Macaca fascicularis: one gene and its partners. The protein of the gene in region 1 interacts with the protein of each later gene in a pairwise test. Links are inferred from orthologs where the notes say so. Each region holds a gene or a part of one and is shown in the gene's direction. Other genes may lie near its edges. The genes, in order: TCHP, MKRN3, KRT15, NAB2, KRT16, NME7 and DYDC1.

Region 1 (3,500 bases):
AGTGTGTCGCACATATAGGGCCATTCCTGGCTGCTCAGGTCTGATGAGAGGCCAGTTAACTCCAGAGCCAGCAGGAAAGGAGCTTAAGTCCTTGTGCAGGGACTGGGTTTTGGATCAGTTAGCTGTATTCTCTTTAGCCCCTTCAGTCATTACATCTGAGTGCTTTTCCTTTCTTCCAGTTCTGTGGGCCCATAGAGATCTGGGAATAATCTGTTTTACCTTCCAAAGTAGTTATGTGAAACAGTGAGCCCTGATCTGTGCTTTTCAGCCTGCTGTATTATTTTGAGACCCCCTAGATAAGACCTCTGTGTAGCATCAGATTTTGGTCCCCTTTTGTCACCATTGCAAGAGTCACTTGGTAGTGCCATGTGGTTCTTAGAGCTGTGCATGTGAAGCACAAGGGTTTGAACAGTGGGTGCAGTGACAGTATGAATGGAGGCACTCATAGCCTGAGCTGACTTCCACTGTGTGTCATCCAAAACGTGAATGGATTTGAAAACTGACATCAGGCTTTCCATTTTGTGTTTTCTCGATAGATTGCTGAACAACTTTTGTATGAACACTGGAAAAAGAACAACCCGAAACTTCGAGAGGTGAAAATCAGAGACCTCCATTGATTTGCCTAAGTAGATGAAATCATGTTTCCAGACTTTTTTTTTTTTTTTTTTAACACATATCTTGTACTGGGTTGAAACAGAGGAGGGAACCTTGAGCCACCTGAAAAGAGCGCCAGGCAGAAGATCTGGCACAGGCTGCACTGAGCGGTTCATTCAGTTGTTGAACAAATGTTGATTGAACCTCTGCTGCCTTTCTACCAGGTGGGGGCATGGAGATTAGACGTGGTTTCTGCTGTCTCCAGCACGGGAAACAGTGGATAGCTCATTACCAGGCAGGATGCAGGGTGCTGGGCCAGCCTGAGAGGATGATCATGGGCCAGCGCACTCAACTCTGGAGGGGTCGGGGAGGCTTCCCAGAGGGGTTCCTGGGGTGGAAGAGTTTGAAGGGATGTATGTGTGTAGAGGTGAGGAAAAGATGTTCTAGGTTGATGTGACTATGAGAACCAGGCCTGAGACTTGAGAGCAGAGTGAGCCCCGGGAGCTGAAAGTGTCTGGGTGAGGCTAGGATGTCAGATAGGGAGAACCCCAAGAAACGACGCCGGCGAGGCAGACGGTGCCAGACGCCATAAGAGCTTGTGTGACCTTCCTCTGAAGGTGCTGGGGGCGGCACACAGGATCCCGGCTGCATTTCAGAGAGATCCCTCTGGCAGCAGTGTGCCAGCTGGCAGGGAGGGGTGCTGCGACAGCCCAGCTGGGGGATGGTGAAGGCCTGAACTGGGCTGGCAGGGGAGAGGAGGACAAACTGCAGGAGAGGGGGTGGCCTCTTGGCTTGGTGGCCTTGTTCAGTGGAGATTTGGCTGGAGGGAGATCATCCCTCACTGTTACTAATTTATTTTCAACTTACAGTTTTTGTATACATTTGGTGCCTTCACGTTATTCGTAGTTACATTTAGAAATTGCCAGTCACTAAATAATGGAACATCTAGTGCTTTTGTGTAGTTTGCACTAATCTGTGGGGGGACTCCTTAGCCCTGTTGGCTTTGGTGGAATCATCTAGAGCCGTTAAATCAGAGAAGTTTATTCAGAACATTCAAGTTAGTTGCCTGTGTTCACAGCTCTAAGTTGGGAAAGATTATTGTAAAACTTTTTTGTAGAGACAGGGTCTCCCTATGTTGCTCAGGCTGGTCTTGAACCTGGGCTCAAGTGATCCTCCCACCTCAGCCTCCCGAGTAGCTGAGGCTACAGGTGGGCGCCTCCATATCCGGCTAATTTTATAAACAGTTTCCCAGACAAAAGATTTGGATTGAATGTTGTGATCCATTTTCTAATCCAGGAGATTCTCTGCGCTCAAATCTCTTACTAACAATCCTAAACTTGTTGCACCCACTGGCGCATCACTTGCTACAGGGAGCACATTTTCCATCTGCTCTGCAGAGCAAGCTTTGGGGAGCCAGACACAGAGTTGAGTCTTCTCCTCACCCAGCTGTCTCCCGGGGCCTGGCATGCAGGAGACCAACCCACGCTGGCCTGCGAAATTGTATTTCCATCTCAGCGTCCAGCTTAACCCCAGGGCTGGTGGGAAGGAAGTCTCTGTTACTTTGTACCAGCTCAGGAGACTGATGTAGGAGCGCCTGGTCCTTTGGTCTTCCGATTGACTTGCATTTACACTGTGCGTGTTGAAGTCGCCCCACGCCCTCTACTGCATGCCTGTGAGGAGACTCACACCCGCCCCCTTCCATCCTCAGGTGGAGCTGGACCTTCACCAGAAGCATGTGGTAAACTCTTGGGAAACGCAGAAAGAAGAAAGAAAACAGGTGTGGTATGCGGCTCAGGGAATAGCCCCGCATTCTGCTGTGCAGGACTGTTGACACCTTTGCATTCCTTTACCGTTTTCAGCGTCAGTGACTCCAGTTAAGGAGTATAGTATACTCTTTCTCAGTTTACTTGACACATGTGAAAACTGAACGTTTGCTCTTACACATACCAGAATCCTATGTGATAATTCCCAGGGCAGAATAAGGCCAGGTGACCAGGACTGGGAGGTGGCAAGTAGAGTATGCGTCTTCTTTTTTTCTTTTGGAGGCAGGGTCTTGCTCTGTCACCCAGGCTGGTGTGCAGTGGCGCAATTCACAGCTCAGTGCAGCCTCGACCAGCTGGGCTCAAGCAGTCCTCCTGACTCGGCTTCCTGAGTAGCTAGGACCACATGTGTGCACCACTGTGCCCAGCTAATTTTTTAGTTTTTGTAGAGATGGGGTCTTGTTCTGTTGCCCAGGCTGGTCTGGCCTCCTGGCCTTTTTTTTTTTTTTGAGACGGAGTCTTGCTCTCTCGCCCAGGCTGGAGTGCAGTGGCGCAATCTTGGCTCACTGCAAGCTCCGCCTCCCGGGTTCACGCCATTCTCCTGCCTCAGCCTCCCGAGTAGCTGGGACTACAGGCGCCCGCCCCTGCGCCCGGCTAATTTTTTCTATTTTTAGTAGAGACGGGGTTTCACCATGGTCTCGATCTCCTGACCTTGTGATCCGCCCACCTCGGCCTCCCAAAGTGCTGGGATTACAGGCGTGAGCCACCACGCCCGGCCATGGCCTCCTGGCCTTAAAAGATTCTCCCACCTGGGCCTCTCAAAGTGCTGGGATTAAAGGCGTGGGCCACAGGGTCCAGCTAGAACATGTGTTTTTAAGGGCTTTTTTGTCGCTCTTTTGATGAAATTTGCATCATAAACTCGCAGCCCTGGCTTCCAGTAGCCCCTTTGGGGTTGAGCTTCCACACCTCCGTGCACTGGTCGCTTTGCTGCCTGGTTCATTTTAGAAAGTGTTTTGTTGAGTGGGGAGGAAACCCAACATTATCAAGCCCCTCCCTAACTTGGTCTCTGAGGGCATTGTCATTTGGGATTCAGGCAGGATCTGCCTGGGCCCTGTGGCCTGCAGAACGGCGGCAGGAAGCTGGGTT
Region 2 (4,170 bases), on another chromosome or scaffold:
TTCATTTTTCCTTGATAAGTTTCACCAGAAATTATCTGGCTTCAATAAGCTGTTTAAAGGATTTTACTTAATTTATTTCCCTTATTTAATATTTGTTTTTCTTCATTGCTTTTCTTGGCCTTATTATTTGCTTCATTCTGCTTTCTTTGCTTTTACCTACCTAATTATAATTTAATTTGTTGACTTGGGTGATTATAAATATTCAGATATGTTTCCACTTTACAGATTTAGGCAACAAAATTTCCTCAAAGAAACTTACAGAAAAAAAAAAATCCAATAATATATAAAACGATATATCATGACACAGAAGGGCTTCTTATTAGAAACAAATTGGTCAGTTAAATATTTGAAACTCATAGCTGCAAATAATCACATTAAGAGAATAAAGGGAAAAACAAGATTATCTCAAAAAATATATAAAACTACATGACAGAATTCAGTATGCAGTCATGATACGTACTCTCAGCAAAGTAGGAATACAAAAAAATGATTAATCCACTACACGTATCTGCAAAAATGACAAAACGCTTATATATGGAAATTAAAGACCATTCCTTTGTGGATAGTATGCCACAACACAGCACAGATGGGGTTGAAAGAAAGCAAGAGAAACAAAGGGCTGCCATGAATTAAACCAGTAGAGAAAATAAAAGCCTGGGTCATGCAGGGGACAGTGCCTTATTCAGCCAGCATCAGGAATGATTGAAGTCTGGGGCTTCTACACAGTGGGAAAACGAGCATAGTAATCACAATAAAGAAAGACATCTGAAAGGTGCTAACTTAGCCTCGGATCAGAAGCGCTGTCTGCTAATGCCTTGCTGGTGAAAAGCGTATCCTGCGTAAGCCCTCAGAAATCCCAGAAAACAAAGACCAAAAGAAACGACGCTTTGTCAACAGAGCAAATCGAAAAAATCTTCCAGCAGTGACAGGGCATTAAAAAAAAAAAAACGCAGACATAAGATGGAGTGAATCAAAAAAGGATTTATCTAATTCATGTATGAAATGTTTCAGAATCTATTGGATTCTAATTTTTTTAAAGCAGACAGATACGAAAATACAACGAAGACGTGCATGACTGAAACCAAAAGAGATTAAAGTAAAACCTCATTCTCCTGAGGAAACGGTGTGAGGAGGGAATTAGGGGCTGCCGGAACACAGCGAAGCAGAGGCAGAAGGCAGACAAAAGGGGCTGGGTTGGTCCCTGCCTGTGTGAACAAAAAATATGTCAGATTGGAAAATTGCGGTAAAATCCAAGCGCGGCGCGTACGTTGCCCCCACAGGAAGTGTCCGCCGCGCTGCCTGTGCCCGGAAGTAGGTAGGAACACACAGTCACAGGCAGCCAAGAACCGGGGGGGAAGAAAAAGAGATGCACACTTCCCCTAGAGAAGCCTCCGAGCGCGGCCGCGACTCCGGGCCTCAAGCCCATAAAGAAAAAATACCGGAGACGTTCTGGCACCATTTCGGGGTAAAGAAGCTGCCATGGAAGAGCCTGCAGCTCCCTCAGAAGCCCAGGAGGCAGCCGGGGCCCAGGCAGGTGCTGAGGCAGCAGGGGAGGGTGTGTCTGGGCCGGACCTTCCCGTCTGTGAGCCCTCCAGGGAATCTGCTGCTCCAGATTCGGCCCTGCCACATGCGCCTGTGGGCTGGGCCCCCTTCCCTGTAGCTCCAGTCCCTGCCCACCTCCGCACAGGAGGCCTGAGGCCTGCACCAGCCTCAGGAGGAGGAGCATGGCGCAATCCGTTTCCAAGCCGAAGCAGCGGCATTTGGACAAAGCAGATCATCTGCAGGTATTATATACATGGGCAGTGCAAGGAGGGGGAGAACTGTCGCTATTCCCACGACCTTTCTGGTCGGAAGATGGCCACTGAGGGCAGCGTTTCGCCGCCTGGGGCCTCTGCAGGTGGAGGCCCTAGCACGGCTGCGCACATCGAGCCCCCGACTCAGGAAGTGGCGGAAGCCCCCCCGGCTGCATCCTCCCTTTCCTTGCCTGTGATTGGCTCGGCTGCTGAAAGGGGTTTCTTTGAAGCCGAGAGAGACAATGCAGACCGTGGAGCTGCTGGAGGAGCAGGTGTAGAAAGCTGGGCGGATGCCATTGAGTTTGTTCCAGGGCAGCCCTACCGGGGCCGCTGGGTTGCATCTGCCCCCGAGGCTCCTCCACAGAGCTCAGAGACTGAGAGGAATCAGATGGCTGTGGGCAGGGGGTTGCGGTTTTGCTATTATGCTTCCAGGGGAGTTTGCTTTCGTGGGGAGAGCTGTATGTTCCTCCATGGAGACATATGCGACATGTGTGGGCTGCAGGCCTTGCACCCCATGGATGCTGCCCAGAGGGAAGACCATATAAGGGCCTGCATTGAAGCACACGAGAAAGATATGGAACTCTCGTTTGCTGTGCAGCGTGGTATGGACAAGGTGTGTGGCATCTGCATGGAGGTTGTCTATGAGAAAGCCAACCCCAATGACCGCCGCTTTGGCATTCTTTCCAATTGCAACCATACCTTCTGTATTAGGTGTATCCGCAGGTGGAGAAGTGCCAGACAGTTTGATAACAGGATCATCAAGTCTTGCCCGCAGTGCAGGGTCACCTCCGACTTGGTCGTTCCCAGTGAGTTCTGGGTGGAGGAGGAGGAAGAGAAGCAGAAACTTATTCAGCAATACAAGGAGGCAATGAGCAACAAGGCCTGCAGGTATTTTGCGGAAGGCAGGGGTAACTGCCCATTTGGAGACACATGCTTTTACAAGCATGAATACCCTGAGGGCTGGGGAGATGAGCCTCCTGGGCCAGGTGGTGGGTCATTCGGCGCATACTGGCATCAACTTGTGGAGCCTGTGCGAATGGGAGAGGGCGACATGCTCTATAAAAGCCGTAAGAAGGAGCTTGTCGTGCTTCGACTGGCCAGTCTGTTGTTTAAGCGGTTTCTTTTACTGAGAGATGAGTTACCCTTCTCTGAGGACCAGTGGGACTTGCTTCATTATGAGCTGGAAGAATATTTCAATTTGAATCTGTAGCATTGTGCTGTGGCATGTGGTCTAGTCTGCTGAGGTTCTGTCGTCTGCTATTGCCTGTTTTCCCTGTGTTGACACTCTTATTGCTTTCAGGGGCTGTTGAGGCAGTGCTTCTGTTTTCTTGTCTATTCTGCATATCTTTCCTCCTAGGATTATGGTGATTATCTGTGTTTAAAAAAATAAGTCCTTAAAGTTACTGTTTTGGTGAAATTAATATTAATGTCAGCTTATGGCTTTTTTTGTCATCTCTGTTTTCAACAGGATTAACTCAGTTCTAGTGTAGTGTTTACTGAATTTCCACACTTATTTTGAAGACCCTCAAGAGTAAATGTGGCAGAGTGAAAGGAGAAGTTTTAATTGAACTAGTAGCTTTGTGCTATAATAGCCTTAACAAATGGACCCTCGCAGGGTCTTGCAGCTGCTCATCTGTTTACAGTTTGTTCTTTCCCTCCTTCCCCTTCAAGTGCACTTGTTAAACTGTGATGAACTTGTGATTTTGTGTTTTACTTGACCAAAACCAAGTGTATATGTTTACATGTTTTTATCCTGTTTAGCTTGACATGAAATAATTTATATTTGGAAATATATATTTAAGAATGATATATATATAATATATATGTATAAGAGCTATGTATTTGAAAATATATATAAAAGAATATACATCACAATATTTATGTTTATGTAATAAAGTAAATACAGAGCCGAAAGCTGAAGGTCAAAGCCTAACAGGATTGGCTGTTGTGTGGATGTGAGTTGTGTGAATAATCATTCTGTCCCTTGCACAGAAGCCAGTAATTAGCATCTAATGAAAAGGACTGTTCAAGTGGGTCTGGCCAAATGTAACAGATGCAGATCTTAGAGGACTTACAAAGCACTATATTGGTAATTCTTACAATGGCATTAATAGCTCACTCTATAAAAACAGAAATTGTGTTCCTACGCAGTTTTGCCACCTTCTCAATAATTCTTTGTAACAGCAAATCCTAGGCTCAGAGGCACAGTGCTTTGTATTTGATATACAAAGTCTCTAGACTTTCCCAACAAGGGGCTTTAGACAAAAGATTTCAACATAAAAGTAACAAGATTATAAAAGGGAAAATAGAACAAAAATACTAAAACCAGTGAGAATAAAATAATGGAAAGATAATAAAATATAGAAAGCACTAAAAA
Region 3 (4,038 bases), on another chromosome or scaffold:
AGAGCCAGGATTTAAACCCCAGGCCTGAGGGACTCCGGAGCCCTGTCCACTTCACCATGCTGCAACCTGGGCTAGGAATCCTCTTCCTGAGTTTCTGTAAGCCCTGGGGCCAGGTCCGGAGGGCCGGGCCACACCTCCAAGAGGCACTGCCCACAGGTGTCAGTTGTCCCTGGAAAGGTGTCCCTGAGCCGGTGGCAGAGAAAAGGGCTCTCCTGAGTGTTCAACTCCCCATCTTTGTGAAGTGATGCCTTGGTCTTCAAGATCTCCAGTGTCTTCCAGCCTGCCCGCCAATCTCCCATCTCTTCCCTTCCACAGCACTCAGGCACATAGAGCCTTCTGCAGCGGCCCCTCCCCAGCCAGCACTTGACAGGACAGATGGGGGCTAATCTGGCCCTGCTAAGCAGCAACATGCTGCTTGGAACTTGCCCCAGCCTTATCAGCGGAGGTCTGCCCCAACACATCCCAGAAGCGAGCAAAGGTTCAGCGCTATGCAGTTGGCAGGTGTCGGGATCATCAGTCATCCCCTTGTCAGCCCCGAGCCTGCTGGGCTTTTGTGAGGGTGCCAGGGACATAGGCTGGAGGCTGGCAGGAGGGGAGTAGAGGTGGGAGGAGGGGAGTCCATCTGCAGCACCAGGGAAGGGATGGATGCTGGCTCCTCTGGTCACCTCAGCTGGAACACTACTCAAGGTCCCTGGCTCCTGTCCTCCAACTGGGGGTCCTGCATTCCCATCCCCAGAGGCCTCCACTCCCCCTGAGCCCTGCAGTCTCTCACTCACTCACAGGGTTTTGAGTTGGATAACACAGTGTAATGATCAAGAAGTGGACTCCCAAACCGAGAACACGGAGCTGTCCCCTTGGGCAGAGGCTCAGGGCTCGGGGCAGTGGAGAAGTCCAGCTGAGGGCACAGTGGCTTGAGCTGCTCTCAGTTCAGCTAGAGGCTTTGGTAGCTGTGCTGTGATGAGAGTTCACTCCCTGCTGCTCTCTTCTGGCATGGAGAGATGAACCTGTAATCCAAGTGTTAAAACCGTGCCCCGGGGGAAAACACTATTAATTCTGAATCATCTCTTTTGTTGCATTAAAAAAAATAGAAGAGAAAAACTTCACACGAGCCACTCAAGGTGTGCAGGCAGCTGTGTTTGTCAGGAAGGCAGAAGGAGTTGGCTTTGCTTTGGGGGAGGAGACGAGGTCCCACAGCACCCTCTGAGGGGAATATAAGGAGCTCCAGAGTGCAGCCTGGCCTGGTACCTCCTGCCAGCGTCTCTTGGGTTTGCTGAGAACTCACGGGCTCCAGCTACCTGACGATGACCACCACATTTCTGCAAACTTCTTCCTCCACTTTTGGGGGTGGCTCTACCCGAGGGGGTTCCCTTCTGGCTGGGGGAGGTGGCTTTGGTGGGGGTAGTCTCTATGGGGGAGGTGGAAGCCGAAATATCTCAGCTTCTTCTGCTAGGTTTGTGTCTTCAGGGTCAGGAGGGGGCTACGGGGGTGGCATGAGGGTCTGTGGCTTTGGTGGAGGGGCTGGCAGTGTTTTTGGTGGAGGCTTTGGAGGGGGCATTGGTGGGGGTTTTGGTGGTGGCTTTGGTGGTGGCGATGGTGGTCTCCTCTCTGGCAATGAGAAAATTACCATGCAGAACCTCAATGACCGCCTGGCCTCCTACCTGGACAAGGTACGTGCCCTAGAAGAGGCCAATGCTGACCTGGAGGTGAAGATCCGTGACTGGTACCAGAAGCAGGCCCCGACCAGCCCGGAACGCGACTACAGCCAATACTTCAAGACCACTGAAGAGCTCCGGGACAAGGTGAGTCCTCAGATGTCAAAGAGAGGGGAGCAGGTGGCTGGTACCCTGTATGTGGCTCTAATGTCGGTGTTACTGCTGACTCGAGGAAATCCTTTCCTGCCCAGGCAACGACTGTCTGGTGTGTAACCTCAGCAAATTTGGAATGCACCTGCTGTCCAGGTGCAGAGGCTAGTGCACATCTTCTCAACTTGGTGGTGCTGGGGGAGGAAGGGAGGGGTCTTGGGAGTCTGGTTAGGACCAACAGGGGCACAGGTGGGGGCAATTATAAAGAGCCAGGGGCAGTAGCTCACACCTGTAATCCCAGTGCTTTGGGGGGCCAAGGTGATAGGACTGCTTGTGTTCAGGAGTTAGAGGCTGCAGTGAGCTAATGACTGTGCCACTGTACTCCGGCCTAGGTGACAGAGTGAGAACCTGTATCTAATGGAAAAAACCAATAATTAAAAAAAAGAGCAGCTCGCCTTCCCTACCTCATGCACCCTGCAGGCTTCTGCATAAAGTATTCCTTCACCTCTTTGGCAAGAATGGGATTGGAGTGTGGCCTCATGAGTCCCAGATGCTAGAACCTCTTGTCTTTTCCTATAAAGAGACCTTTTGTGCCAAAAGTACTGTTGGGTCTTAGGAGACCTGGGAACTCATTACACATTCTGTCACCCACTCACTCACCTTTTTACTCCCTGAGACTGGGTTCTTCATTTGTAAAAGGCCTTCTTTAGCTGCCCTCCAGGTTGCTACTGGCTGGAATGTTCTGTAGATCCATGGCTGTGTCCAAGATGTGCAGGAGGCAGTGACCATGAGCTGTCCACAGGGGGGCTGGTGGAGTGTCTCTGAGAGGGCTATTGTCAGAGCTGACCACACCCCACTCCACCACTCTTCTGGGCAACCAATTCCCACAGGCAGTACTGCCTCCTTGGTCTTTCGTGCCCTGGAGACAAGGAGGGCAACTCCTCAGGTGTCTCAAGGAGGCTGGTATGGGACAAAACCAGAAGTGGACACTCAAGATGCGGCTGGACTCTGCCCACCCCAGAGGCCCTACAGATTTTTGTTGGTGGTGTCAGAGGGGTGATTGTCAGTGAGGGGCTGGCCTTGGGTGCAGAGTGGAGAGCAGCAAGGGAGAGAGAGGAGTCCTCTAGGCACCAACTCTGTCTCCTGCAGATCACGGCCACCACCATCGACAACTCCCGGGTCATCCTGGAGATCGACAACGCCAGGCTGGCTGCAGACGACTTCAGGCTCAAGTGCGCTCCCCCCTCCCTCTCCTCTTCCTGCGTTGCCCACTTTACTTGGCCTTCTCCTGGGTCTGACTCAGGCAGCCAAGACCCCTCCCACTTCCTTCTTTGGCCTCCCTCTCTCTCCTCAGGTATGAGAACGAGCTGGCCCTGCGCCAGAGCGTCGAGGCTGACATCAACGGCCTGCGCCGAGTCCTGGATGAGCTGACCCTGGCCAAGACTGACCTGGAGATGCAGATCGAGGGCCTGAATGAGGAGCTGGCCTACCTGAAGAAGAACCACGAGGAGGTGAGAGCTGGCCCCCATCACCCTTGAACCTGAGAGAGGTGGGGAACTTCTTCCCAAAACGCACTTAAATTGCCCAGAGGGAAAGACAGCGGCTCCAGGAAGCCCTCCCAGATTTTCGCGAGATTAAGTCGGTGGGAGGCAGAGTGGGGCTGCTGGTACTTCCTCATCGTTGGCCTGGGGCTTAGTGGTTCAGAAACACCCCCAAACCCCAAAACCAGGTGTCCTCATGGAGAGGAAGGGGCACTGACCTGTGGTAGCCCAGACCCACAGCCAGGCCAGGTGGCCAGTACGAATGACTGACTTCCTCATTGGCTTTGTGAGCTCACATCAGGGCCCTACAGTCTCGGGGTCCTCCCTTTGGTAGGACCTAGAGCAGCAGAGAGCTCCTCAGAGTTGAGGGGTCCATGTGACCGAACCTCTTCATGTGCAATAGGGAACATCGGTTGGGGTGCGTTAGGGGCAGAGCCAGGATTGGCATGTGGGACCCCAGACTCAGGTTTCTCTTCTGCTCTCCGTCTCTAAATGGGCCCCTCCCACCCTGCAGGAGATGAAGGAGTTCGGCAGCCAGCTGGCCGGCCAGGTCAATGTGGAGATGGACGCAGCACCGGGCGTGGACCTGACCCGCGTGCTGGCAGAGATGAGGGAGCAGTACGAGGCCATGGCGGAGAAGAACCGCCGGGATGCTGAGGCCTGGTTCTTCAGCAAGGTGGGCCTGATCTCCTGCC
Region 4 (3,877 bases), about 53 Mb from region 1:
CCCTTGACCAGGACCCCAGGCCCTGATCCCCTCCCTGACAGGCCCCCACCCCAGCGGCCGCAGTGCTTCCATCCTCAGCTGAGGGGGAAGCAGAGGTACAGGCCACACCAAGCTGTTCAGCTCCTTGTCACTCAGGACCCCACAGGAGTGGAAGAGGCCCTGGGCATTCCTAGGAAGCTGTGGGTGCTGATCTCTGTCTGTCTTCCTCAGAAAGCTCCCATGTAGTGTCAAAACCAAAGCAAGCATCTGATGGATGGGCCTTATTTGTCTGATGGTGAAGGGGTGTGAGGAGGTCTGGTGAGGCAGCAGGGGAGTTCAAATTCTGACTCTCCTGGCTGCCCTCTCTCCACAGCTCACCATCAATGAGGCTGCTGCCCAGTTCTGCATGAGGGACAACACACTCTTATTGCGGAGAGTGGAGCTCTTCTCTTTGTCCCGCCAAGTAGCCCGAGAGAGCACCTACTTGTCCTCCTTGAAGGGCTCCAGGTGAGACCCCTTCCCCAGGTCCTTCCTGGACTGGAATCCTGCTATGGAGTTAGATTATGTCCTAACCTTCAGCTCAGGCAGCTCTAGGCCTGCTTCCCGCCCACCTGGATGTCCTGCTTTTGGTCAAGTCAGCTTGTCTCAGGTCTGGTCTCTCCTCCCATCCATGTCGGGTCCCCCCAACCCCCTACAACAATAGGGCCTGAGCTAGAGACTCTTTCTCGGCCAGCTTCTTGACAAAGGTTTTAAATAACACGTCTCTGGCCGGGTTCTGTGCTCTGCCCGTCACGTGGCCCTCATCAGCCTCACCCACTTTATTCTTATCCATCTTTTCAGGCTCCACCCTGAAGAACTGGGAGGCCCTCCACTGAAGAAGCTGAAACAAGAGGTATGTTTTCCGGGGTGCATGTAGGGGCATTGGGCAGCCTTCCCCAATCCCCTCCCTTGCCAGGTCTTCATTTCCCCATTTTGGGCATCCACAGGTTGGAGAACAGAGTCACCCTGAAATCCAGCAGCCTCCCCCAGGCCCTGAGTCCTATGCACCCCCATACCGCCCCAGCCTGGAGGAGGACAGCGCCAGCCTGTCTGGGGAGAGTCTGGATGGACATTTGCAGGGTGAGTGTGCCTCAGAATACTTTTCTCTTCATTGAGGGTGGGGGAGTAGGGGAGGGGTTGGGGGGAGGAGTGAGCCAGGAGGCAATGCCTGGAACAGGGTTGGGAAGCTTGGCTGGAGGGGGGGCAGAAGGGCCTGTGGGCTGGCTGTGTGGTTGAGGGTGGGGGTTCCATTGGCTGCAGCCCCTTACCTGACCAGTGCCCATGCCCACAGCTGTGGGGTCATGTCCAAGGCTGACGCCGCCCCCTGCTGACCTGCCTCTGGCATTGCCAGCCCATGGGCTATGGAGCCGCCACATCCTGCAGCAGACACTGATGGACGAGGGGCTGCGGCTCGCCCGCCTCGTCTCACACGACCGCGTGGGCCGCCTCAGCCCCTGTGTGCCTGCGAAGCCACCTCTCGCAGGTGAGGCAGCCAGCAGTGCTGTCCCCAAGCACCCCGGCCACCCAGGCCCCACACAGCAATTCTGGTGTCCTGGGGCCAGGTGGGAGGAAGAGGGATATAGTCGTCAGAGCGGGCCGTAGGAGGGCTGGGCTCCAGCCAGCCAGGCCTTGGGGTGCGGTGAGGCAGACCCTGCCGGGCTGCTCCCACCTTGAAAAGTCTGGTCCTAGTGTAGATCTGTGAAAGGGGAACTGGGGAACAGGGAACAGAGAAAAGAGGATGAAAGCGCAGGAAGGAGGAGCATCAATAAGGGAAGCTCAGATGGCACTTCCACCAACCCAGGAGTGGGGAGCAGGCTAGGAGTTGCGGGGATGGGGATGGGGATGCCCAGCTTGGAAGCAGAGGAGCCCAAAGCAGTGATGCTTTGTGTGTGGAAGGGGGAAGAGGGAGTGGGCAGGCAGAGGGCCGGGCAGCCGCTGGGCTGAGAGTGACGCAGCAGACAAAGCCACCAACCCTGGCTTGGTATTTTTAAACTGTGCGTGGGTGGGAAGTGGGGGCGGGGACTGGAAGGGGGCCTCTTCTTGAGGGAGGAGCTCGGAGGCTGGCTTCCTGTGCTCCCCCTGATTTGGCTACCAAAACACTTGGGGGGCCATGGTAGGGTGACCTGGGAGGGGCCTGGGAGGGGGCCAGGGATGAGTGGGGGTGGCAAAGCTTGGGAAGAGGGGGAGGGGAGAGGTCAGAGCCAAACCACCCCCGCAGCTCCTGACAGAACCAGAAATTCCAGCACAACGGAGGAGGCGGGAGAGACAGAGAAAGAGAGAGACACAGAGACAGAGCTACACACAGCCAGAGAGGGGAGGGGGCTCACACACACAGGAATGGAACCCCCCATACACATGCAGTGGGCAGGAAGCAGTAATTCAACAAACGGAGCCCATCTTCACAACTTTCTTTGCCCCTGCTTCTGTTCCAACCACTTCTGTCTGCAGCCAGTCACCCTGCAGTCTCCTAACTGCCCCCTTTTCCCTGCAGAGTTCGAGGAAGGGCTGCTGGACAGATGTCCTGCCCCAGGACCCCATCCCGCACTGGTGGAGGGTCGCAGGAGCAGCGTGAAAGTGGAGGCTGAGGCCAGCCGGCAGTGAGGGGTGGACTGGTGTCTTCAGACCCAGGACCTCAGACTTCTGGCTCACACAGACCCCCATGCTCTCCATCCCCGGAATATAGTCACAACCCTGGATCCTTCCTCTGCCCTTCTCCTGCCTCCCCACCTGCTCCATGGGCATAAGACTGTGGGGCTTCAAGCAATAACAAGCAGGGGCCTGGAGAGAGGACACAAGGAGGGTGCGTGGTGCCCTCACCCCTGCCCAGAGCGAGGGGGCAAGGACTCTGCCTCCAAGGGCATCTGGGGTTCTCCCCTCCCTCACACGACACACTCCCATTCTCTTTAGGTTTGCACCTGTGGTGTGAGCAGTTGGACTCAGTTTGGACAAGGGGGAAAGGGGGACTTCCCTGGGAAGGTCCAGCAGCTAAAAGTGGCAACATTTGCCCCCAGAATTGGGGGCCTGGGAACACTGGACCTGCTCCTTCTTCCCTCTCCTTCCCCGTTTTTGTGCTTCTGGTTTGTTTCTTTAATTTAACAAGTGCTGCAGTTTGCCCTCCCATTCCCATCTATCCCCCAAGTCCTTTGCAATTTCCTCCCTCCTGCCCTACATGGGGGCGGTGGGTGTGGGATCCCTTCACTGGCCCCCTTGGGAGGCCTGGGTTGGACTCAGGGTCTCCTCCAGCTGGGGGCTGGACCGCAGCACCTATCTGAGCAGTTAGAGCGTCTTTCTTTTCAGATTGTGTACAGTAGATTATTTATTTTGTTATTTTGGAATAAAATTTATTTTATGGCTTAGGATCTATGACCCCTGCCTCGAGAGGGAGAAACGGTGACATGGGATGGGGGAGTGAAGGGAAGCTGGCAGTGGATAGGGCAACAGAGAAGATACAGCAGGCAGGGCCCCTTCATACACTGGAGGGCCACATGGTCAGGCCTGGACCCAGACACTCACCCTGGCTCCCAGGCAGCATTGGAGATATGGAGCCATATGTAGATGTCACAGCCACTTGGACCCACTTGGGCACAGTCAGACTCCAAATTCAGAGTATTTTTGGGTTAGCATATGTCAGAGAGGCCAGCACACTTGCTGCTGTCTTCTGTGCAATGTCTCACACTCCCAAATTTGTGTTGTCAAACAGGCAAAAGCAGACACATGTTCTATGTGGTCATGCAACTAACATGCCAGCTATACATTAACATATCTTAGGTACATACACGTTCACACAGCTATACATGAAGAAACTCGGCCCTTGTACTTTTGCATAGTCTCATACACATATCAGAAGCCTCCACCTCGC
Region 5 (4,035 bases), on another chromosome or scaffold:
GGATGAATGGAGCTGCCAGGCCCAGTCTGGGATCTGTGGACATGGGAAAGAGAACTGCTGGGAATGGATCCCCAACCAGTCCTGTTTCTACAGGGTCGGGGACTCTGAGGCCCATGGCGGAGTCAGGGGTCACACCTGGCTACAGTGGCAGGACGGGCTCCCTCCCATCAGCCTGCAGGTGGGGTGCCTGTGATTAGGAGAGGGCGGTAGAGGAGTGGAGGAGCTAGGTGTGGGGCTGTGGTGTTCTTCAGCTGGGAGTGTGGGGGGTGCAGGGTCCCGCGTAGGGGTGTGGGAGGGTGCCAGTGTGTAGAGGTGAGTGTGAGGAGCAGGTGGCTGAAGGGGCAGGATGGGGAGGCTGAGGGGCAGGGCTGACCCTCAGGGAAGGGCCGGTGGGGTCCTGCGCGCATGTTTCTTTGTGGCTAGTGGTGTGTCATCCCCTTTTACACATGAGAAAACTGAGGACCAAGGGGTTATAGGACCGGCCTGTGCTATGCAGCTGGTAAGGGCAGAGCAGGGACTTGGTGCCGCCTGTCTGGCTCCATGGCCGGTGCTGTTTGTATGGTGCACACACTTCTGGAGATCCCAGGGGCTCCAGGCAGCCTCCAGAACTGGAATTACATCCAACAAGGGAAAGAGAGTCGTAGGATTTTTAGAACCAGAAGGGACTCTGCAGTCACCCAGTCTAGCCTTGTCACCACCGAGGGGAAACAGGCCCAGAGATGGGAGGTGGGGAGCCTCAGGCCACACAGCAAGCAGAGTGAAGGCACGAACTCTGCCCCTGCCCAGAGTGGGACATGTAGGATCCCCACAACTGCTCCCCAAGACAGCCCGGGATGGCATCGCTGAGGTATCTTTCAGCCAAGGCTGTCACTGTGGGGCAGGGAGTTCTTCTGAAGGGCTGACTCACTGCCTGGGGACGCAGTTGCCACAAAGCCACCTGTGCCAAGGCCCCACTGGCCCTGAGGGCTCCAGGAACGGGAGCCTGATTCCCGGCTGCCTAGCCTGAGTCACCACCTACTTGCATTTGTGTGTTTTTCTCTCAGCCCCACACCCCCAAAGCTGGGTGGGAACTCCGAGCCGGCACACAGTGGAGTTGATCCTGGGCTGAATAATCCAGAGTGAGGAGTAGGACGGGACCGGGAGTGATGAAATCCGGAGGGGAACCCGGAGTCAGCAGTTAGGAGAGCCCCGCCTTCCCCAGGTGCATATAAAGGTCTCTGGGATTGGAGGCAGCCACAGCACGCTCTCAGCCTTCCTGAGCACCTTCCTTTCTTTCAGCCAACTGCTCGCTCGCTCACCTCCCTCCTCGGCACCATGACCACCTGCAGTCGCCAGTTCACCTCCTCCAGCTCCATGAAGGGCTCCTGCGGCATCGGGGGCGGCATCGGGGGCGGCTCCAGCCGCATCTCCTCCGTCCTGGCCGGAGGGTCCTGCCGCGCCCCCAGCACCTACGGCGGGGGCCTGTCTGTCTCCTCCTCCCGCTTCTCCTCTGGGGGAGCCTGCGGGCTGGGGGGCGGCTATGGCGGTGGCTTCAGCAGCAGCAGCAGCTTTGGTAGTGGCTTCGGGGGAGGATATGGTGCTGGCTTCGGTGCTGGCTTGGGTGCTGGCTTGGGTGGTGGCTTTGGTGGTGGCTTTGCTGGTGGTGATGGGCTTCTGGTGGGCAGTGAGAAGGTGACCATGCAGAACCTCAACGACCGCCTGGCCTCCTACCTGGACAAGGTGCGTGCTCTGGAGGAGGCCAACGCCGACCTGGAGGTGAAGATCCGCGACTGGTACCAGAGGCAGCGGCCCAGTGAGATCAAAGACTACAGTCCCTACTTCAAGACCATCGAGGACCTGAGGAACAAGGTGGGTGACTGGTGTATGGAGCAGAGAGAGAGGCTGGCACTATAGTGGCCCTTGGGATACCTCTTTTTAGCAATTACACTTTACAAACAGGGAGACTGGGCACCTTTGGAGAGTGGCCAGGATCACCCAGGGAAGTGGTGGCAGAGGGTCCTTTTCAGCATCTCTGTGCCCGGGCTGGGGCTGGAACCCTGAATCTCTTATTTCCTGCAAGGGTTCAGCTGCAAGTTCAGCTTCCCTGCCTTGGAACCAGGAAGGGGGTGATTGGGATGGAGTGTGTCCCTACATACCCTGAGCTGGTGGAGAAGGCAGCCCTGCCAGCCAGGAGACTTACAGATTTGGGGAGGTTCCTTTTGCCCCTTTCTGCCTTTCATGCTCAAGTAGTAAGGTCCTTGGCTGACCAGGGCTCCTGTCCTCCATCCCCACTCCAGATCATTGCAGCCACCATTGAGAATGCGCAGCCCATTTTGCAGATTGACAATGCCAGGCTGGCAGCCGATGACTTCAGGACAAAGTGAGCAGCCAACATGGTGGGCTGGGGGCAGAGGGCAAGGGACAAAGAGTGGGGCTCTGTCACTGTGGGGCAGGGAGTTCTGTCCACCCAGCAGGGCCAGCAGACCCCGAGCCTCAGAATCCTCAGGGCTGCAGCTGAGGACCTGACCTCTGTCCTGCCAGGTACGAGCATGAACTGGCCCTGCGGCAGACCGTGGAGGCCGATGTCAATGGCCTGCGCCGGGTGTTGGATGAGCTGACCCTGGCCAGGACTGACCTGGAGATGCAGATCGAAGGCCTGAAGGAGGAGCTGGCCTACCTGAGGAAGAACCATGAGGAGGTGCGGTTGCTGCTGGCTTCCGGGGTGGGAGGCTGGTTTGGTGGGGTTGCCAGATGCACCCAGGGCCAGGAGAGGAGTCTGCTGAGCTGACTGCCTCCTGCCATCCCTTCCCAGGAGATGCTTGCTCTTCGAGGTCAGAGCGGTGGAGATGTGAACGTGGAGATGGATGCCGCACCTGGCGTGGACCTGAGCCGCATCCTGAATGAGATGCGCGACCAGTACGAGCAGATGGCAGAGAAAAACCGCAGAGATGCTGAGGCCTGGTTCCTGAGCAAGGTGGGGCTCGGGCCCTCAGTGAGCCTGCAGCACTTCCCAGCCGGGGGCTTTGGGAGAGCCTCACCTTTCGTTCTGCTTTCCTGTCTCAGACCGAGGAGCTAAACAAAGAAGTGGCCTCCAACAGCGAACTGGTACAGAGCAGCCGCACTGAGGTGACGGAGCTCCGGAGGGTGTTCCAGGGCCTGGAGATTGAGCTGCAGTCCCAGCTCAGCATGGTATGAAGGACCCGGTACAGCAGCAGCCCCCAAGCCACCAGTAATGGCCACCACCCCCTCAACAAGCCACAATCTAGTTCCACCTTTCTTTTCTCAGGATGGGACCAGAGGACTCATGGGACCCATTATATAGACAGAGAAATTAAGCCCTAGAATAGTGGGCTAGCTTTTCTCCATATTGTCTGGCCCGTCAGTACCCCAACTGGGATCAAAATCCAGGCACCTCTCAAAAAGCATGCCCAGAGACCTGGAGGGACAGGAGTGACCACCTCCATTGACTCTTTCTCTCTTTCGCTTGCAGAAAGCATCCCTGGAGAACAGCCTGGAGGAGACCAAAGGCCGCTACTGCATGCAGCTGTCCCAGATCCAGGGACTGATCGGCAGCGTGGAGGAGCAGCTGGCCCAGCTACGTTGTGAGATGGAGCAGCAGAGCCAGGAGTACCAGATCCTGCTGGACGTGAAGACGCGGCTGGAGCAGGAGATCGCCACCTACCGCCGCCTGCTGGAGGGCGAGGACGCCCAGTGAGTCCCAGGCCCCCCAGTTCTGCCTCCCAGACCCTTTAGACCCCCTGTTGCTCTCAGCACAACTGACTGCCCTGCCTTTTCTCTCCCACAGCCTTTCCTCCCAGCACGCATCTGGCCAATCCTATTCTTCCCGCGAGGGTAAGGCTTCTGAGGCTCCCCGGCACTGCAGCCCCTCTGCCTGTTTCCACGGAGTGGGGGCCGGGCCCTTCTCCTCAGAGCTCCCAGCCCTCCCTTCTCCCTGCCCTGGAGTCTGCTCAGCTCTCAGACTCCTTCTCACCTCTTCTTCTCTCTCCCACAGTCTTCACCTCCTCCTCGTCTTCTTCGAGCCGTCAGACCCGGCCC
Region 6 (3,500 bases), on another chromosome or scaffold:
AAGAATCCCCAAATTTACCCTAACCAGAGCATCAGATGGCAAATCCAGAATTAGCAATAAAACTCCTAGATTCCCTTCTTCCCTATGCTTTTATTTGCTTATTATAATGAAGGGCCTTTGGGGCAAGGGTATTTTTACTAACATATATAATGGGAAATCCTGCTCGATAGTCAAGGGAAAAGGACCCATCTTTGACTTATTTTTTTTTCATTTTTTGCTCTCTGTGGTAGCCCTAAGAATGTACTTCACAGACCTCCAACTACAGGCAACCTAAATGACCAAGGGTCCCAGCTGCTGTTCTCTGAAATCCACTGCTGCTTTTGTGCTGAGCACTTGTTTCCCAAAGGCTGCTCCCAGCCAGTGATTGAGAGGAACAGGGATACTAAAGCTGGCCCCTCCGTGTCCTTGGGAGTCACCTGGCTCTAGCACTTCCTGATGGGCTTACTGAACCTTCCTTAGAGGGTGTAGCAATCTGGGATGATTCTACTTAACCTTGCTTGCACCTCTCCACCACTCTGTGTCAAACTTGCATTGTTTTTTGTCAGCTTTTCTAGTCTTCCTTGGCTCCCTCCTCATTTTATATTACAGGAATTTTCCTTAATGAAATTCTTGCATGTTCAGTCTTGTCTTCACATTTATTTTCAGAGGTCCTAGACTAACACATTCTCTATTTCTATAAAAAGATACTATCATATGTAATTACTAAGGAAAAAAGATGTTTACTATAATTTTAATGGTAATATTCTGATACTACTAGATTCTCAAATTTAGGGAAGTCAAAACTTCATATAATTGAGAGCTATCCTCAGAAATGTATGCTTATATTAATTTATTGATAGTCTCTATGTAAACTTGCTTTCAGAAGGACTGAATTGCTACCACAGTAAAATCAGGAGCTCATGTTCTCAGAAAATGTTAATTTACTCAGGATGATTAGATGGCTATAAAGTAATAAGCAATCCATAAGTCATCTCTGAGATATGAGAAATTAAAAGGAAATATTTCTGAGGGTATGTTGATAACTGATATTTTGTTGAAAAGCAGAAAAATTCAATACAATAGGTAGGAGTAAGTTTGTTTTTTGCAAATTGGTAATTCTTGCTTTCATTTTGTGTGACTTACAGGAGAGTGCTTGTTCTTTATATGTTAGTGTTAAAATTCTTCTGTCTTTCTTTGCAGAGTCATAGTGAAAGATTCGTTTTCATTGCAGAGTGGTATGATCCAAATGCTTCACTTCTTCGACGTTATGAGCTTTTATTTTACCCAGGGGATGGATCTGTTGAAATGGTAAATAAGTCTTTCTTTGCTTGAATGTCGGCAAAGGGGGTGAACATGGGAACCATTGCCTTTTATATAATTGCTTTTTAAAAACACATTTATATGTGTGTGTGTGTGTGTATATATATATGGAAATTCTTTTTAAAGATATTCATTATAATTTCAATATAAGAAGTTAACTTGTGCCTTTACTTTTAATGTCAAAGATAGGAAATTTTTTTTGTTGTTGTTAGAAGACTGAAGTGGGGGTCGGGCACGGTGACTCATGCCTGTAATCCCAGCACTTTGGGAGGCTGAGGTGGGCGGATTACTTGAGGTCAGGAGTTCGAGACTAGCCTGACCAACATGGTGAAAACCTGTCTTTACTAAAAATACACAAAATTAGCCGGGTGTGGTGGTACATGCCTGTCATCCCACCTACTCGGGAGGCTGAGGCAGGAGAATGGCTTGAACTCAGGAAGTGGAGGTTGCAGTGAGCTGAGATCATGCCACCGCACTCCAGCCTGGGGGACAGAATGAGCCTCTATCTCAAAAAAAAAAAAAAAAAGAAAAGAAAAAAAAAAGACTGAAATGGGATTATTCATGTTTTGGATAAGAAATAACCAATAAGTGATTATAGATAAGGATTATTATGGTCATAAATATGTCCTCATTATTGAAAGCTGTTACTGCTACAAAAAGTCAAATTGAGAGGATCAAGCTAAGAGGCTTCTGTTTATTTCTTTGTGTTTCTTCATTGGCAACACAATTTTAACAAGTGGATCTTTTTGGTATTGGGATTTTGTGTACACAAAAAAGCAGAAATTTGGGTGTATGACTCTTTCTTTAGCATTTTGTAAGGACTACTGAAATGATTTGGTAATAAACAAATCTTTCTATTCAGGGTTTTAAGAGTATTAAATGTGTAATAAAAAGCTTTTATGTTATTACCAGATTGGATTCAGAAATATGGAAGTAATTAAAAATTATGATTTATATTTGTAACAAAAAAGAAACAGAATATAACTTATCTTTGATAAGACAGAATTAAGAATTATTTCTACCTTATGATAAGATTAACTTTCCTTATTCATAAATTTTGTTTGTTTGTTTGTTATATTCTTGTGTCTGGTTCTAGCATGATGTAAAGAATCATCGCACCTTTTTAAAGCGGACCAAATATGATAGCCTGCACTTGGAAGATTTATTTATAGGCAACAAAGTGAATGTCTTTTCTCGACAATTGGTATTAATTGACTATGGGGATCAATATACAGCTCGCCAGCTGGGCAGTAGGAAAGAAAAGTAAGAAAACAATTATATAATCTTTTTACATTTTGTAACTTTGGGTTCAAAGTCAATCTGAATCAAGACTGGGAGTATTTAACCATATGAGGATGGATAGGACCTGGAAAATGGTTGTCTTCATTCTGTCTTTTTCTTTTTTTCAATTAAAAAAATTGATAATATCATAGTTGTACATGTCTCATCTGACTTAATTCATATTTATGTCTCCTATGCAACTTAGCACATCTCAGAGATACAGTCATCTGTAAAAGGGGCTAAGAAAAAAACGGAAGTGAGAAAGAACAACTTGTAGATACAGCTGAAAATTAGACTTATAGAAAACAAGGACTTCTGATGTTTTCCTTCTGAATATTGATTTTCAGTATTTTCAAGATGACTTTTTAACTTTTAAATTCTCTACATTTATGAATTTCAACTTTCTGAGATTAGAATTAATTATATTTGAAATGAAAATTTAAGTCCTTTGTCATCTCTCTTGGATCTAATTTCTGTAGCTTATATTTTGTATGGTTTGGGGACTTTTTTTTTTTTTAACTGTAGAGTGATTGGTGCTATAATTAAAATAGGGATTATTTGTAGAAGTTAAGGCTATATGTATAAAAGGTTCCAAAAATGATTTAATTCAATAGGAAAAACAAATCAGTCACACTATTTTTTGAGATCTGCTACTCAAATGACTAGTTGATTGCCTAACATCTGAGTCACTCTCATAGTAATGAGGTATCTCTTTCTGTGACTTCCATAGTCTTTCTGTATAAGCACTTTATGGTTCTTGAGGTGATTGGATTCTCAGTGTGGGTGTTAGTACACAAAGGGTGATGGATCAGAGGGGTGGTGAATGCCTCGTAACAAAGGAAGACCAAACACTTTCTTTGAAATAGGATAAAAATTTCAGGTATTAGATAAATAAACAGGAATCTTTTAATGTTGTGGGA
Region 7 (2,265 bases), on another chromosome or scaffold:
GACTGACTTAGTTTGTGTCAAATATCCATCTCTGTGGTGGGGGAACATGGTCCTATAAGAATATGGATGTTCCCAATATAGCCTTGTGGATGCTGGATAAGAAGTTACCAGGAAAATGGAGTGGTCTTGGGAAAACAGTGCTGTTTATGTTCCTATCATTAGGGTAACCATATGTATGATCAAGAAATCACTGGTGGTGTAGCAGCCAAAATCAATCAGCTCAGGGTCAGTTAGGCCACCGTGCTGCTTTAGAATGAAAAGGTAGATGGCATAGCAAGGTTTGGCTGGCTAGAAGAATATTTTCACATTCAGAAAGAGGTCTCCCATATTGGCAGTACATTCCTACTGCAGTGCTCAGAGTATTAAAGAGGGCATCGCTCAGGTCCCTCTGCATTGGGCCAGATTAGTTCCTGTAGAAGTGTTTACTTCTTTCTCATGATGTGCAAAACTCTACTTAAGTGTAGTTTCTCTTTAAAATCTCTTGTTCTAAGGTTCTATTATAATTTTTATTTTGTCAGTTTTTATATTGGCAGATAATTTGGCTTCAGTTTAAATGTTTCAGTCCATTTCACTTTTTAAAAAGTTTTATTTAATTATATATAAAACATGGTTGCCTTCTATTAGTATAGAGTATTAAATAAGACTGTGATCTGCAGTTTTGTAATGTGTAATCAGATCATTCTCTTTCAGAGTGACAGCATTTTTGCTTTAAATTGATCATAGCATTGTGTAAAAATAAAAATGCCAAAAATGAAATATGAAATCAAAATGAAGTATATTCAAAGTATTTTCTTAATTTTTATATATTATAGGAGATGAGAATGAATATGGAAAATCTAGTTAGGAGTGAAGATACTCTATATTCAGAGGTGAGAAGAAAAAGTCATTCTATGTTATGTGAAATGAATTGAGTATCCTATAATTTAAGCTTAATTTTGATGCATAAGTAGCTAAATTTTTAGCAAGTATATTATCAAAACTGATAGTCCATATATATTTTCTGGTAATAACAAGTCACAAATAATGTGCTTTGAAGAAAAATCTCACAGTAGGTAAAAATTGGACATTCAGTTTGTGTTTGGATTTAAAAAAACTAGGCTCTCTTGAGATATTGAAGCTATTTACCACATAATTACTTACAATTATTTTAAATTTCTGCAGGTATTTAAAGAAAAGTTTTAGCATTTATTGCCGGAATTCTAGCTTTATATTCTAGGATACTCAATTCATTACCAGAATTCTCTTGTCATTAACAGAAATTGGTTAATTCCACTAATTAATAATGTTGAATTTTGATGTTATAAATCAGAAAATTTTTAATCAAAATTGAAAGAAAAGTAATGTATTAATTTTGAAATAATTTAAAAGTAAACATAAATTTTTTGATTGTAGGAAGCAACACTAGACTCAGGCAAAACACTAGCTGAAATCAGCGATCGTTATGGAGCACCTAACTTGAGCAGAGTGGAAGAACTTGATGAACCAATGTTTTCTGATGTCAGTATCAGCGTGTTTTTTAAAAAGCTCTTTTTTGTTTTTGTTTTTGATTTTTTCACTTAGGTAAAGCCTAGGGAAAATGAGGCTAGGCCAGGATTGGTTGGCAAACGGGCCTTTTGCTTCAGAGAAAATCAGTTCCCTGGTTGCCGATTATATTCCTAATTGGCATTCTGCCCTTTTGTGAAGTGTGTCATTGGCTTATCTATGTCTCTGTATCTGTGACCTCAAAACCTCTTCAAAATATGTTTTAAAATCATTTTGTGAAATACACGATCTTTAAATTTGGTGTAGGGGGCACGATTTTGGTCCTCAGTAACAAACCCTGGAACCAAATGAATGCCTTAATGAGAGTGCATGCTTCTCCAGTATGTAAGTACATTTGTTTATTTAACAAACATACCACATCTTCCATATGCCAGGCACTATGCCTGATGGTGTGGTGAATAAGGCAGATGGCTTTGATCTTGTGGAGTTTATTGTCAGGGAAGAAACAGACAATTAGATGAGCATTTAATAGTCATGGTTAGCGGGACCACGTAATTTATTGTCCAAACCAGTATGCTTTTGAGAATGAGAGCCGGCTCAGCAGATGTAAGCCAGGACTGTCCTGGAAGAAGGGTACATTTTGGTCACTTTAATTCATGTACACTAACAAGGAGGGACAGCCAGCACAGTTGAGGAACCTCAGTCGGGAAGGAAACTAATGATTTGCTACTCACTGGTGGCATGGGAGGCCGAGGGTAGTGCTCCAGGCAGACAGCACGGAAG

Evidence for each region.
Region 2: the proteins of TCHP (region 1) and MKRN3 interact in binary tests that used the Homo sapiens proteins (3 or more experiments, as listed by UniProt). The two-hybrid records come from large-scale screens. The link is inferred for Macaca fascicularis from reciprocal best matches to the Homo sapiens genes TCHP and MKRN3.
Region 3: the proteins of TCHP (region 1) and KRT15 interact in binary tests that used the Homo sapiens proteins (3 or more experiments, as listed by UniProt). The two-hybrid records come from large-scale screens. The link is inferred for Macaca fascicularis from reciprocal best matches to the Homo sapiens genes TCHP and KRT15.
Region 4: the proteins of TCHP (region 1) and NAB2 interact in binary tests that used the Homo sapiens proteins (3 or more experiments, as listed by UniProt). The two-hybrid records come from large-scale screens. The link is inferred for Macaca fascicularis from reciprocal best matches to the Homo sapiens genes TCHP and NAB2.
Region 5: the proteins of TCHP (region 1) and KRT16 interact in binary tests that used the Homo sapiens proteins (3 or more experiments, as listed by UniProt). The link is inferred for Macaca fascicularis from reciprocal best matches to the Homo sapiens genes TCHP and KRT16.
Region 6: the proteins of TCHP (region 1) and NME7 interact in binary tests that used the Homo sapiens proteins (3 or more experiments, as listed by UniProt). The two-hybrid records come from large-scale screens. The link is inferred for Macaca fascicularis from reciprocal best matches to the Homo sapiens genes TCHP and NME7.
Region 7: the proteins of TCHP (region 1) and DYDC1 interact in binary tests that used the Homo sapiens proteins (3 or more experiments, as listed by UniProt). The two-hybrid records come from large-scale screens. The link is inferred for Macaca fascicularis from reciprocal best matches to the Homo sapiens genes TCHP and DYDC1.

Annotation. Positions count from the first base shown.
Region 1 is NC_088385.1:116,776,454-116,779,953, forward strand, and holds part of TCHP (trichoplein keratin filament-binding protein), read left to right. Parts: intron 1-536; coding exon 537-593; intron 594-2,302; coding exon 2,303-2,371; intron 2,372-3,500. UniProt on the Homo sapiens protein: Tumor suppressor which has the ability to inhibit cell growth and be pro-apoptotic during cell stress. Inhibits cell growth in bladder and prostate cancer cells by a down-regulation of HSPB1 by inhibiting its phosphorylation.
Region 2 is NC_088381.1:5,418,420-5,422,589, reverse strand, and holds the start of MKRN3 (E3 ubiquitin-protein ligase makorin-3), read left to right. Parts: upstream 1-1,370; 5' UTR 1,371-1,479; coding exon 1,480-2,681; coding exon of another isoform or gene 2,682-3,003; exon of another isoform or gene 3,004-3,261; coding exon of another isoform or gene 3,262-3,283; exon of another isoform or gene 3,284-4,170. UniProt on the Homo sapiens protein: E3 ubiquitin ligase catalyzing the covalent attachment of ubiquitin moieties onto substrate proteins.
Region 3 is NC_088390.1:62,557,296-62,561,333, reverse strand, and holds the start of KRT15 (keratin, type I cytoskeletal 15), read left to right. Parts: upstream 1-1,238; 5' UTR 1,239-1,301; coding exon 1,302-1,799; intron 1,800-2,951; coding exon 2,952-3,034; intron 3,035-3,156; coding exon 3,157-3,313; intron 3,314-3,857; coding exon 3,858-4,019; intron 4,020-4,038.
Region 4 is NC_088385.1:63,891,375-63,895,251, forward strand, and holds the end of NAB2 (NGFI-A-binding protein 2), read left to right. Parts: intron 1-352; coding exon 353-486; intron 487-819; coding exon 820-871; intron 872-965; coding exon 966-1,098; intron 1,099-1,309; coding exon 1,310-1,501; intron 1,502-2,509; coding exon 2,510-2,619; 3' UTR 2,620-3,377; downstream 3,378-3,877. UniProt on the Homo sapiens protein: Acts as a transcriptional repressor for zinc finger transcription factors EGR1 and EGR2. Isoform 2 lacks repression ability.
Region 5 is NC_088390.1:62,651,814-62,655,848, reverse strand, and holds the start of KRT16 (keratin, type I cytoskeletal 16), read left to right. Parts: upstream 1-1,235; 5' UTR 1,236-1,314; coding exon 1,315-1,848; intron 1,849-2,276; coding exon 2,277-2,359; intron 2,360-2,520; coding exon 2,521-2,677; intron 2,678-2,791; coding exon 2,792-2,953; intron 2,954-3,042; coding exon 3,043-3,168; intron 3,169-3,469; coding exon 3,470-3,690; intron 3,691-3,784; coding exon 3,785-3,831; intron 3,832-3,991; coding exon 3,992-4,035. UniProt on the Homo sapiens protein: Epidermis-specific type I keratin that plays a key role in skin. Acts as a regulator of innate immunity in response to skin barrier breach: required for some inflammatory checkpoint for the skin barrier maintenance.
Region 6 is NC_088375.1:26,961,140-26,964,639, reverse strand, and holds part of NME7 (nucleoside diphosphate kinase homolog 7), read left to right. Parts: intron 1-1,179; coding exon 1,180-1,287; intron 1,288-2,395; coding exon 2,396-2,562; intron 2,563-3,500. UniProt on the Homo sapiens protein: Possesses an intrinsic kinase activity. Displays 3'-5' exonuclease activity with a preference for single-stranded DNA. Does not seem to have nucleoside diphosphate kinase activity.
Region 7 is NC_088383.1:66,468,688-66,470,952, forward strand, and holds part of DYDC1 (DPY30 domain-containing protein 1), read left to right. Parts: intron 1-812; coding exon 813-869; intron 870-1,392; coding exon 1,393-1,497; intron 1,498-2,265. UniProt on the Homo sapiens protein: Functions as part of axonemal radial spoke complexes that play an important part in the motility of sperm and cilia. Plays a crucial role during acrosome biogenesis.